2 linked regions of the Xenopus tropicalis genome follow. The protein of the gene in region 1 binds, or shares a complex with, the protein of each later gene. Links are inferred from orthologs where the notes say so. Each region holds a gene or a part of one and is shown on either strand. Other genes may lie near its edges.

Evidence for each region. The genes of interacting proteins can lie anywhere in the genome.
Region 2: supt16h (region 1) and ssrp1 share a complex: the UniProt entries of both Homo sapiens proteins name them as parts of the FACT complex. The link is inferred for Xenopus tropicalis from reciprocal best matches to the Homo sapiens genes SUPT16H and SSRP1.

The regions. Positions count from the first base shown.
Region 1 is NC_030677.2:142,080,814-142,086,725, reverse strand, and holds part of supt16h (FACT complex subunit SPT16), read right to left. Parts: coding exon 5,840-5,912; intron 4,267-5,839; coding exon 4,191-4,266; intron 3,678-4,190; coding exon 3,508-3,677; intron 2,423-3,507; coding exon 2,293-2,422; intron 1,207-2,292; coding exon 1,077-1,206; intron 993-1,076; coding exon 915-992; intron 38-914; coding exon 1-37. UniProt on the Homo sapiens protein: Component of the FACT complex, a general chromatin factor that acts to reorganize nucleosomes. The FACT complex is involved in multiple processes that require DNA as a template such as mRNA elongation, DNA replication and DNA repair.
Region 2 is NC_030683.2:56,094,026-56,099,937, reverse strand, and holds part of ssrp1 (FACT complex subunit SSRP1), read left to right. Parts: intron 1-3,287; coding exon 3,288-3,393; intron 3,394-5,532; coding exon 5,533-5,723; intron 5,724-5,912. UniProt on the Homo sapiens protein: Component of the FACT complex, a general chromatin factor that acts to reorganize nucleosomes. The FACT complex is involved in multiple processes that require DNA as a template such as mRNA elongation, DNA replication and DNA repair.

The sequences.
Region 1 (5,912 bases):
TGCTCCTCCTCTTCCTCATAACGGCTTTCCCGGTCAGCTGTAAGAGAGGAGGCCATAAGAATCAGTAAATCTGAGATTAATTGACATTACCTGACATCAGCGAATAGGATTTTACACAGTTAAGAACTAAAATCAATATTTTTCAGAGCTTATTTAATATATGCTGTGTGAACATGTATTTTTTGTACCTATTCCCTTACAAGGCTGTACAGATGGCTAAACAGATGAATATTTTTTATATGCCGTAGTTTTGTTTCTGAAGCAAAACACATTTTTACTATTGCAGGAAAAAGCGCTACTGGTCCTTTAACGGTAAATAATTCTGATTAAATAGATTATAAAACATATGGTATGCCAAGCAATTTCACCACTAGAGGAAGAAATGCAGAGATCAATAAATCCACCCCTGTCTGGCTTATATCGTTAAATATATTAGCCTATAAAAGACACTGGTGACAACAGACAGAAAACTATTTAGAATGCAAAAGAATACCAGGAATAAAAAGGATATATAGGGAACCTGAAGTATTCCATAAGAGCCACTACCCACAATAAATGTTTTGCAGCAAACCTGCTGAAGCTTTTTTCCTATTTTTTGGACTTTTACAATTGTATTCCATAAGAGCACTGCATCAATCTAATTGCCTGGTATGCCACAAAAATAACAATGCTATCAGAGAAAATACATTCCTTTAATAATAATCATTGGTTATCTAGAGCCAATCCTCACCCATATTCAACCAAAAGGGTGTAAAAAGTACAAATACACTTAAGGAAAGGACAACAATAAGCAAATAACAGATTTTTTTGTCATAATTTAGGAAAAATAAAGAGGTAAACTTTATTAACTGAAAAATACTTTACTACCTGGCATTAAATGGCAAATAACTCAGAAAATGGTAGAGTTTACTAACCTTTTCTGGCTTCCTCTTCTAGTTCATCCCAGTCCTTTCCACTCTCCTCATCAGTGCCCAGGGATTCTTCACTGCCAACTGTTAAAAGAAATGGTATATTATAGTGCCAACATCCATTCCCTTCCTTATTCATTATTAACTTTAAACTTCCACCCTTCATACCCGACTCCTCTGTCTCATCAGAGTAATCCTCATCGCTGTCCTCCTCCTCTTCTTCATACTCATCCTCAGAAGGATTAAATGTCTCATCTTCCATTTCAGACTCTGATTCGCCTTCCTCTGCACCACTGCCCTGTATAAACAAACACATTATGAATGAAAAAACTAATAAACTAAAAATGTAGTGTTAAACATTTCCAGTTAAAAAAAGCACAATTGGTCATGGTCTGATGCTATAAAATAAATAAGAAATACGTTTATCTCATCAACAACATGATCACCTTACAATAGTAATCATGCAATCAAGCAATAAGAGCACAGACCAAAATTTGTATTCTAGTTATCATTTTAAAGAAAAAAAAATTAAACACAAAACCAGCATGTCTGGTGCTTGTTGAAAAACTCCTCTGGTATGGTCCCAAAATAGGGTTTGTACTATAGCACTGAAACTAGCACAGTACACATAGATGCCTAATACACAAAAGCCATGAATAACCAAAAATATATAAGGAATAATGTAGCCACTATTGTAAATAAGTTGTGCACGCACAAGTTTTGGGTCCAGCACACAAATTGTAGAGTGCACAAATTTTTGTTTATATCAAAACACATAATCCACTCACTTTTCTGCACACACAGTTTTAAATAGAGGGATCACTTAATATAATTAGTGCGGTTAGTAAGGTTAACTTACTGAAACATGCATTACAACAAATAATGTACCTGGCCCTAGGGTGCTAACGAAGGGGGTTTATGGAAGTGGCCCTTTGCTGAGGAGGCTTCTCCCCACCCCACGAAGGGCTGAGAAGCAGATATATGCAGTGTGCCAATATCCTTAAGCTGGCAAAAAAGAATGGTACCTGGGCACCACCATTGCCAAACTAAAGTGTGCCATATTTGCTAACTGAAAAAAAAAAGAAAAAAAAAAAAAAAAAGAGGGAGGCTGCCCTTAGCAAGCAAGGTTAAGCTGGCAACACGAGGTAGAATTTAGCCAAACCCTTCTTCAGTTTTAAATCCTGTTTCTGCAAATAGGTAGCTAAATATAATTCATTATTCCTGTCTCCTGTCCCCAATAAGGCAAAAAAAAAAAAAAAAAAGTATATTCGCAAAATGAACAGATACAGTATGCCCAGAATAAAGATCTGCTTGGGATAAATAAAAACTATTTTACATATGCAAAAATATAAATTACAATTACAAATGCAACCACCAAACTCACCTCTCCTTCTGGCTCTAAAAATGACCAACCACCTTGTTCAAAGAAACCTTCAGGGTCATCTACAATGGTCTTCATAATTTTTGTCCAGTTTAGTGACTGTACTCCTTCAGTATATTTAATGTCACAGGAGCTGTAGAAGAAAGCTTTCAATGAGAACACTGCAAAAAGTAAAGTTACTAACAACTGTTATAAGCACAGTATCTTAAAGGTCAAGTAAAACCTTTCTAAACCCCATGCCCCATTACATTTATTGTTTTTTTTCATTACCTTTAATATAATGTTGGAGACTGGTTCCTATTGGAGATGGCGAGAAGAACACACTCTGGTTTTCTCTTATGCCCCTAGGAGTATTTGCCATTTTCAATAGACCTTACTCCCCTCAGATCTAGCACGTGTGCACTCCCTATGTTTACTTCCTGCCTGTGTGACCAGAAATGACGTCACTACCATGTCTATGTATATCATGACATAAGTTGCTCACCACAGCAATATATCTTTCAAGTAAAGATTATGGCTAGTTGAAAAACTAAAGTGTGTCCCCCAAGCACTAAAGCTCAGCTAGCAAATGTTCTGCTCTATTCTTTTATAGTACACAGCCATAATTTCCCCCATGCCTTTTCTCAACCAAAATACCTGCAAAAATTAAACACATCATTTTATAAAGCAGATGTCGAAGGTGCTTGCATCAATCTAATAAACACAGGAACTGATTTCCAGGTTGATCAAGCAGCAACCCAAGACAGGAGCAGCACATGGAGGCTCTTTGCTGCCTGACCATCCTATTATTGCTTTGCTTTATACTACTGTAAGAGACACCTAGTAATGACATGTATTCAAAAGTCACTTGTTGCAAAGATATTCCAGTATGATAAACATTAAAAGGGATATTTTAATAGAAAATTCTTGTGTCCCTGTATATTTAAGTGTTTTCTAAATAAAATTAAAATGCCCAAATGTCCCCCAGTCCATATACAGTTGTTCCATGCCTTGCATCACCAGCCTTTCACACAAGAGCAGCACCCCAATTATTTATCTGTCCTTTTGCACAGAGAAGTCTCTGCTGTCCACATCCCAATAGACCTGCTGTTGGAGCATAGCGTGTGAACGTAACAGTCAACATAAACCACTACTGGACCATGTGTAATCAGATTAACAGATACATGAAAAATGTGTTAACAGCAGCACTACATCTTTCATATTCCATGAAACACTTACTTAAGCCATTCTTTTATGGGGTCAAGTGAAGCCACAGGGATTGCATTAATCATGGTGACTTTCTTGCCGTACTCTTTGTAAACAATAACCATGTCAAAGTTTTTAAGATGAAATTGCACTCTCTCAAAGTGTACAAGCTCCACCTCATCAAGCGTAACAACAAATGGGGGCTGAGAGAAAAGAAAAATCAGCAGTTAGAAATGGTAACCTATTTATCCAAGTGCTTGGGCTATATCTATATACCACTTAAGCCATACATCAAACAATCTAGAAAAAAAATGATCAATTGACCACAACTATGTTTGAGATGCAATAACTGAAGAAAAAAAATGGATAGTTCTCAAGAATCTAAACACTTAAAATAAGAAAAAAAAATGTTAAAAACCACAGAGGGGGGAAAGGCTGGGAGTTGAATATAACTGGTAAAAAGGCATGAAAATTCAACAATAAAAGAGCAGGACACTCGGAAGAAAAGGATGTGAGTTAGGGTTAGGATTTATTTGTTTTTATTTGGCGCGGCCTATACTTTTACAGCTACAGCAGTTTGTTTTGTCCTCCTTTCAGTTTTTTAAATACTGGGAGGTATTCTTCTTTTAAAAGTTTTCTATTACGACTGTTAAATGTCTCTTAAACTACAACATTCAAAATGACTTACTACAGTATATATAGAAGATTAAACTTACCCACTCTGTGGTGTTTACCAGTGCACTGCTGGTGGGCTGAAGGAGGCAGGTGCTTCTGTATGGAGCTCCATTGAACCTATTATGGAAAAAAATAAAACTCAGCCCAAAACTGCCTGAAAGTTTTAATCTTAGGTTTATGGTTTTCCCTAGTCACTGTACGTATACCAATCCATGAAAAGTTGAAAAGTATGTAATGCTTTGTATTTTCTACGTTTTGTTGCATTAAATCCAGGGTGTAAAACAGTCCATAGTGGAATACAAAGTCTACATAAGTTTATTAAAAAATAAATGGAAGCATCTAAGACTCCATTAGAATTCACTTCCTTTACAAAACCCCTAAATAAGCTTTGAGCAACTAACTGCCTTCAGACATCACAAAATTAATTCAAGTCCAACTATGCATTTAAAAGTGTAAACACATATTTGAAAAAACAGCATCATTAAGACCAAGGAGTATCATGTGTCAGTATCCAGAATAAATTCTGGAAAATAGCAGGGTCTAAAATAAAATTCCTGGAGCACCACTAAATCAATAGCACAACTGTGAGTCAGCCTAGAGAAAGCTCTCTCCAAGGTTTGGTGACCAGGTAAAAGGGTAACTAGTCAAATGCTGATGGTAACCAGCTTTAAACTGTGCAAACAAAAAGCCATCAATTAGAGACCCATATGAAAATCCTTTCAGAGTTTGCCAAAAGGCATGCAAGAAAACCAGCAAGCACGGCAAAAGGTTCTCTGCTCGGATAAGACCAAAATTTAAATTGTAAACTACCAAACCCTACCTGGCTCTGGATAGACGCAGTCAAATAAAAGGAAATTCTAAAGAAAAAGCCTGTTTCAGTCAGCATGAGACCTGAGACTGGGAGGGAGCTTCACCTTTTAGCCAGACTCAGTGAAAGCTATACTGGAGTGATTTAAGACCAACAAGACTAATGGCTTAGAATGTTCCAGTCAAATCCAGACCTTAAACCTATTTGTGACAAAACTCAAACTTTGCTGTTCTCCTTCCAACCTGAACAGCTTAACTATATTTTGCCAAGAATGGCAAAAATTGCAGAATCCAGATCTGTAAAACTAGGATTCACTTACACCACACACACTACAGCTATAACTGCAGCCAAATGCGATTCTACCAAATAATGAATTGAGGTAAATTAGTTAAATCCATTTTAATTCCAAGATAACAGAACAGAAGTGCACATATCAAAAAAAGTATAGATACACATCAGTGGTTCATGGGGAAAAAAAAGTGATAGAGACACTAAAAACCAACTTTTTAAAATATTAATGTATATTAAAGTTACCTATAGTCACACTTTTTGCTGATAGGGCTGCTTTTGTAAGTAATTTCTGTAAAAAGTTCATAAACCTGTTTTGCCAACCTGACTGTCCCTTCTCAGCCTGTCAGTTATAGTTTCTAATGCTAATGGACTCCTGCAGCACAAATATGGCAGCCCCCTCATAGAGGAACATGGGGACCACGCATGTAATGTAAAAGCTTCGGGAAAATACTTTTAAAGCAAAATATAAGTAGCATGCAAAGACAATGTTATCATAGATAAAAAAAAAAAAAAAAAAAAAAAAAAAAAAACTTATTTCTGGTTTCAGTATCTCAATATTTCACAACAGTACAACAAAGAGCCAATGCTTACCCCAGGTCTCTAAAGGGAACCTCAAATTCCAAGTCCTCCTTTGTCAAAGATTCCACCTTTTCAATAAAATTTT
Region 2 (5,912 bases), on another chromosome or scaffold:
ATTTTGAAAGCTTAGGTTGTCCTTAAAAAGACAATATATTGTTTTCCCAGGTAAACTACAAGAACCCTCTAGTAAAGGCCCCTAAAATGTGAGAGCGCAAAATGTTCAACAATGGTCTGGCAATATAAGTTCCACTTTGACCAAATCAGCTGCCAGTTTAAGGGTTAAAAGGCAGCTAAACCTCTTTCTTCATCTGACTTAGACTGTAGGCATAGCCTGCTTCAGGTAAGTATGAAACAAGGAAATTAAAAAAGAAACTAAAATATAACTGTGATTACTAGGCAGTAGATACGAATAAAATTACAGATGGTAAAGAGATAAAAAGCAACCCATATAACCAGGGCTGTGGAGTCGGTAGATAAATTCTCCGACTCCTCAGTTTCTGATACTTCCGACTCCAACTCCACGACTCCGACTCCTCTGTTTTTAATATAATGTATTTTATACATTCATACAGTCAATGAAAAGCATGCTTCATGGTCACAAAATTGCCTCTGACTCTGTGCAGTATCTCCAACATATCATTAGGTACCAAGATAAAACATTCCTCTGAACATTGTGATTCCCAGTGTGCAAAGGTTTAACTTAGTATATGACATTTAAATACATTAAAACCATATCTTGTGCATACTATTTATGACCTACATTTCAACTACTTCAAAAAACAAAAACATAGCATGTTTTATATGTGATAAAAGCTGCAAAAAAATTGTGCTGACACCTGAAAACCATACTTTTATGGGAAGTATACATTCTGGCGAATCCAAAATAGTTGAAAACAAGATTCGGGGAGCACTCACCGCCACAGACTCACATTCAAAGAGTCCCGTGCTATCACGTCCAGAAGACGCCCCCGATCCAGGCGTAATTCGATGCAGAGAAAAATTGTTGGTAGACGGAGCACGCCAGGACTACTTTTCAATAAAAAAATATATTCTTTATTCTGGTATCCATTAAAAACATGGTGATACACTACACCTCCAGCTTAGGAGGTGTAGTGTATCACCATGTTTTTAATGGATACCAGAATAAAGAATATATTTTTTTATTGAAAAGTAGTCCTGGCGTGCTCCGTCTACCAACAATTTTTCTCTGAATCCAAAATAGTTAAATGTTTCTCTACTCCAAACTGGCAAACTACAAAGCTTTGCTAAAGTTAGCGGTTTTAATAACATTTTAAAAATTCACATGTGAGCTTCCATTTTACAGCATGTTACCTCCTACCAAAAGAAAGATACCATTATATACCGCAATTAAACCTCCTAAAATTGAAAGCTAGGGTCTTCTAAGCAGCTTGATGCCCAGGGTGTGTTGGTTTACCTAAGGGCAATTTCACACATTTAACTTGCGCTATTTCTTCCATAAAAGGATAAAACATTCTAAACATGGACACCAGGGGGCACATTTATTAATCCACGAATCCCGAATGGGAAAAAATCGGATTGGAAACGAAAATTTAGCGATTTTTTTTTCGTGAAGGCGACAAAAAAAAAAAATCGCAAAATTACCGATCATGATGGGAAAAACGCATTCGGCCGCTTTTCGGATGTTCGTGAATTAGTAAATATACCCCCAGGAGTGTACTAAACAGCATGGGGACCCCAAATTAGACTAATGCACATGAATTTTCTTGGATGCCAATTCACCTTCTGTGAACATATCCTTCTGTTGTGTTGTAAGACCCCCTATCAGTATGAAAACCCTTGAAAACCATATATTTTTGGAAAGTACTGTCAAACTGCAAAAATATGCCAAAACATCACAAAAATCAAATACAATTAGGCAAATCAATGAAATAATGATATAACTGATCCAACAGCATGGTTAGTGGTGGTAAGAATGCCTGCTCCAGTAGTCACATTGTAAAATAAATAATTTTTAGGAGAAAACAAAAGAGAATGCTAAAATGAAGAACTAAAAAAAAAAAAGAAAAACAAAAAGGAACACCAAGAGCCCCAATAGTGTAATATATTTTTACAAGGAGTAATGATAGAGTAAACAAATTAAAACTCACAAGCCAGGGTTACCAATAGGCAACCACTGTATAAGTAGGTGGGGAGATTATCCTGACCCCACTCAGGAATAAGAAGTCACTCTCTGTAGAAGGAAGAAAAATGGGGTGGACAGAGGCTCCTGGTGTGTTTATACAAAGACACTGTTTTTTTTGCGCCTATTCTACATTGCCTGATGAAGCAGGAAATGCCTGTGAAACGCGTTGCAATATTGTTGTGAATAAACTATTACTGAAAATTACCACTTTTGTTGGTGTCTGCCTGGAGGAGGTAAGTTCACTACTACCTCCTCTGAATTACCCATTGGGTTTTTAAGTGTTTTTAGCTAATTTTATCTTTTTGGCGCCTCTGTTTTGTCTTATCATTAAAAAAAAAAAGAAGCTGTTTTTTAAGGCTCTAATAAGGATTAATTATATCTTAGTTGGGGTCAAGTACAAGGTACTGTTTTATTATTATCGAGAAAAAGGAAACCATTTTTAAAAATGTGAAATATTTGGTTATAATGGAGTCTATGGGAAATGGCCTTTCCGTAATTCGGAACGTTCTGGATAATGGGTGTCCAGATAAGGGGTCCGAAACCTGTACCTATGTTCTTGGCAGGAAAAGGTTTCAAATAGTAGGCTTCTTTGCAGATGCTAATTTGTGTGGCTGTGCAGAATACAAAAAATATAGTAAATTGTACCCCTTAAAGTTACAGAATTTATGTATTATGAGGGCCACACTTGGGATTACTATCATGCACCAATTAAGTTACCTAACACTTTTTATTTGAGGACTGCTGTTATTATGACAGCCATCAACCCTTGAAGTGTGTCCATGTCTGTAGGAGTAATAGGATACTACAGGCTCTTGCAGACTGTAATCACTGATGTCTGAAGATGGCCATAATATGTTATAGTTGCAATGCTTTTAAACGTTCAAAAATGAGCCAGTCTTAATAAGCAAAAGAAAGTTAATTCAGTGCTATGTTTTGGTATAATAACTTAATTGCAGCTCCTGAAATTGGTCCACTATTTTCAGTGGGTATCTGGATAGGATACACAGAAGGTCCCGGTGAGAGTTCCATGTTTGGCCTGGCTATATATACATCTGGTGAATAGGTTATTCAGCCAGAGTGTGATATTTAGATCACCTACACAAGTTTGCATGGAAAATATTTGAACACTCACCCTTTTAAGGGAATTAAACAATAACATTGTCTTATTTGCACTTTAGTTTCATTTATTGAATGTAATTTTTTTTAAAATTACTGTGTTTTTTTTCTTAATTTTCTAGGAGTATGACAAGCTGTTTGATTATTTCAAATCTCATTTTCGTGTGGAATTAGTAGAGAAGGATTTGTGTGTGAAAGGATGGAACTGGGGCAGTGTGAGATTTGGAGGTGAGTGTTAATTCTTGTGTCTCATTTTCATGCATGAATGAAATGCTAACCTATGATCACGCATGGAGAACTATTTTTGTTGTATTTATTTACAATTTAGGCAGGTCTTTTGACACTTAATAGGCCATTTGTAAGCTGCACTTTTTACGGCTATCAATTGTGTTTTTAATTTATGTTCCACTTGTGGTAAGGCAATGGTTAGTATAAAGATTAATTATAACATGATGCATTCTATGCCTGATACAAATACTTATATCCTTCTAGTGATCTTTTTAAAGAAGCAAAATAAAGGGTCCACGGTTGCCACACTGTTGTATGTTTATGTACAGAATTTTTGTACATTTTTTTTGTAGGGCTGTAGAATGATGGGTTTTGTGTTATATTAACCCTGTCCGCAGTACAGTGAGTGTCCGTATTGTTTTGTAGCCAATGATTGGTTAGTTGATTCTTGCTACGGGCAAGTATTTGGACTAGAAGCATTTTTCAGGGTTTTTTTCTTTACTGGGGAGGGAACGTGGGGTCTGCTTCTTCAGTAGCCACTGAAAGACTGCGTTCAGTTCTAGCAGAGGCACACACCCACTTGCCTGCAGGGAAGGGGGTGGGTTAGGATTCAGTGCGCGCCAGCTTTAAAACAAAAAATAAATAAATACATTTTATACTGAATGATAATGGATTATAACCATGACTAAAGCTAGTCCATGTAGAAATGGCCATATTTTCATTAGCTTGCATACATATAAAGTGTGACTACAATAGTTTTATGGGAATGTGCAAGTGGATGCCCTAAAGTTATTGTTTCACTACAACTTCCGGCATCACATGCCAGCTCATTTGGCATTTTTCAAATTGCTGAGCCTTTGTGCCGTTGCTCAGCAAATGTTTTTCTCATAAATAACTAAGAAATAAAGTTGATATGTAAAGTTTCGGACAATGAATGGTTGGACCACTCCTACTCCTCTCTGCTTAGAACACAATCTGCCTGTCAGAACTGAGCCAAGTTAAGCAGTTTCCCGTTCCTGATAGTTCCCCTTTGTTGTCCTATGGAGTGGTTCTGTTGCCTGCAATAGATCTTTGCTATCCCGTGCGACTAATCACTTTGAAATGCCTTTCCGTCGGCAACAGTAGGAACCACTGGTGCAGGCAACTTTGTGAAAACTTAGGAAAACAGAAGAGATACAGAAGGCTTTCCACCGGCGACATCTATTGTTGCCAATAGAAAGGCATTTCGGAGCGGTAAGTCACATGCTCTAGCAGAGATCTATCATGGCCGACTGTTAAACGCATGGGCTGAGCTTGAAATATTTTGCATTGTACCCATTTACTTTTTGCACTGCTCTTAGTAAGTAATTAGTCTCAAGGCATAGACCTCCCATTAATTTAGGTATTATACATAGAGTGTTTTGTTCGAGGAGGTTTGTTATTCCCAATTGATTTACTTATTTTAGTTTGAGTATACTAAACAGTATAAACACTGTCACTTGCAGAGTAGAGATAGTCACATCTGGCAGGTAACATTGAACACCAATGAAAAATGCGGGCACTCTATTCACACATATATATATGAATATTTAAATCTCCACTCACCGCTTCCTGAAAGCAAAGAAATTCAATCCATTCGGCACGCACTCATCAAGTCCCAGGACAGCGGGTAAAAAATTCCAAAAACCTTATTGAACAGAACCTAACGCGTTTCGTGTGTTCTCACGCGTATTCATAGGTACCTTCGGAACACCGAAATACCGCGTATATGTCGGGTGAAGACATATGGAGCTACTAGTAGCAGCTACTTGCAACTGCTACAGAAATAGACAATGCTGATCATTTGCTGTTAACTGTCTCTACATGTGTTTTACCAGAGGCATTTCTCAGTATTGTCTATGGCAGGGTATTTTATGGCATTTAGTAGCAGTGACAAATGGCTGCTACTAAGTAGCTCCATTTGTCTTCACCCTTAATCTCTCCTCGGAACATTAACCTAAAGCCAAATAAGGAGAAAAGGCACAGGTTTACTTTGCAAATAACAGAAGGAAGGTAAATGGGTAATTTCTACATTACATATACTACTGTTTATATTATTCTTAATTTTGAATTCTTCTTTTAAATAAAAACCCCCCATTTTAACATTTTTAACCCATCTAGGACAGCTGCTTTCGTTTGATATAGGAGATCAGCCAGCCTTTGAACTTCCACTTAGTAATGTTTCTCAGTGTACCACAGGGAAGAATGAGGTGACACTTGAATTTCATCAGAATGATGACTCTGAGGTCTCTCTCATGGAGATACGTTTCTATGTCCCTCCCACACAGGACGATGGAGGGGACCCTGTAGAGGTCAGTGTTAATTATTTCAGTGATCTAACATTCTTGCATGTTTTGCCATTTAATTGTGTTTGCATCTCTGTAACTGCTCTGCCGATTTACAGTTATGTGAAAAAATTAGGAGACCCTGTGAAAGCCTGTGTGATTTTGTAACATTCTTAGACATATGGATATTTAATCTCAATTTTAACAATACTGAAA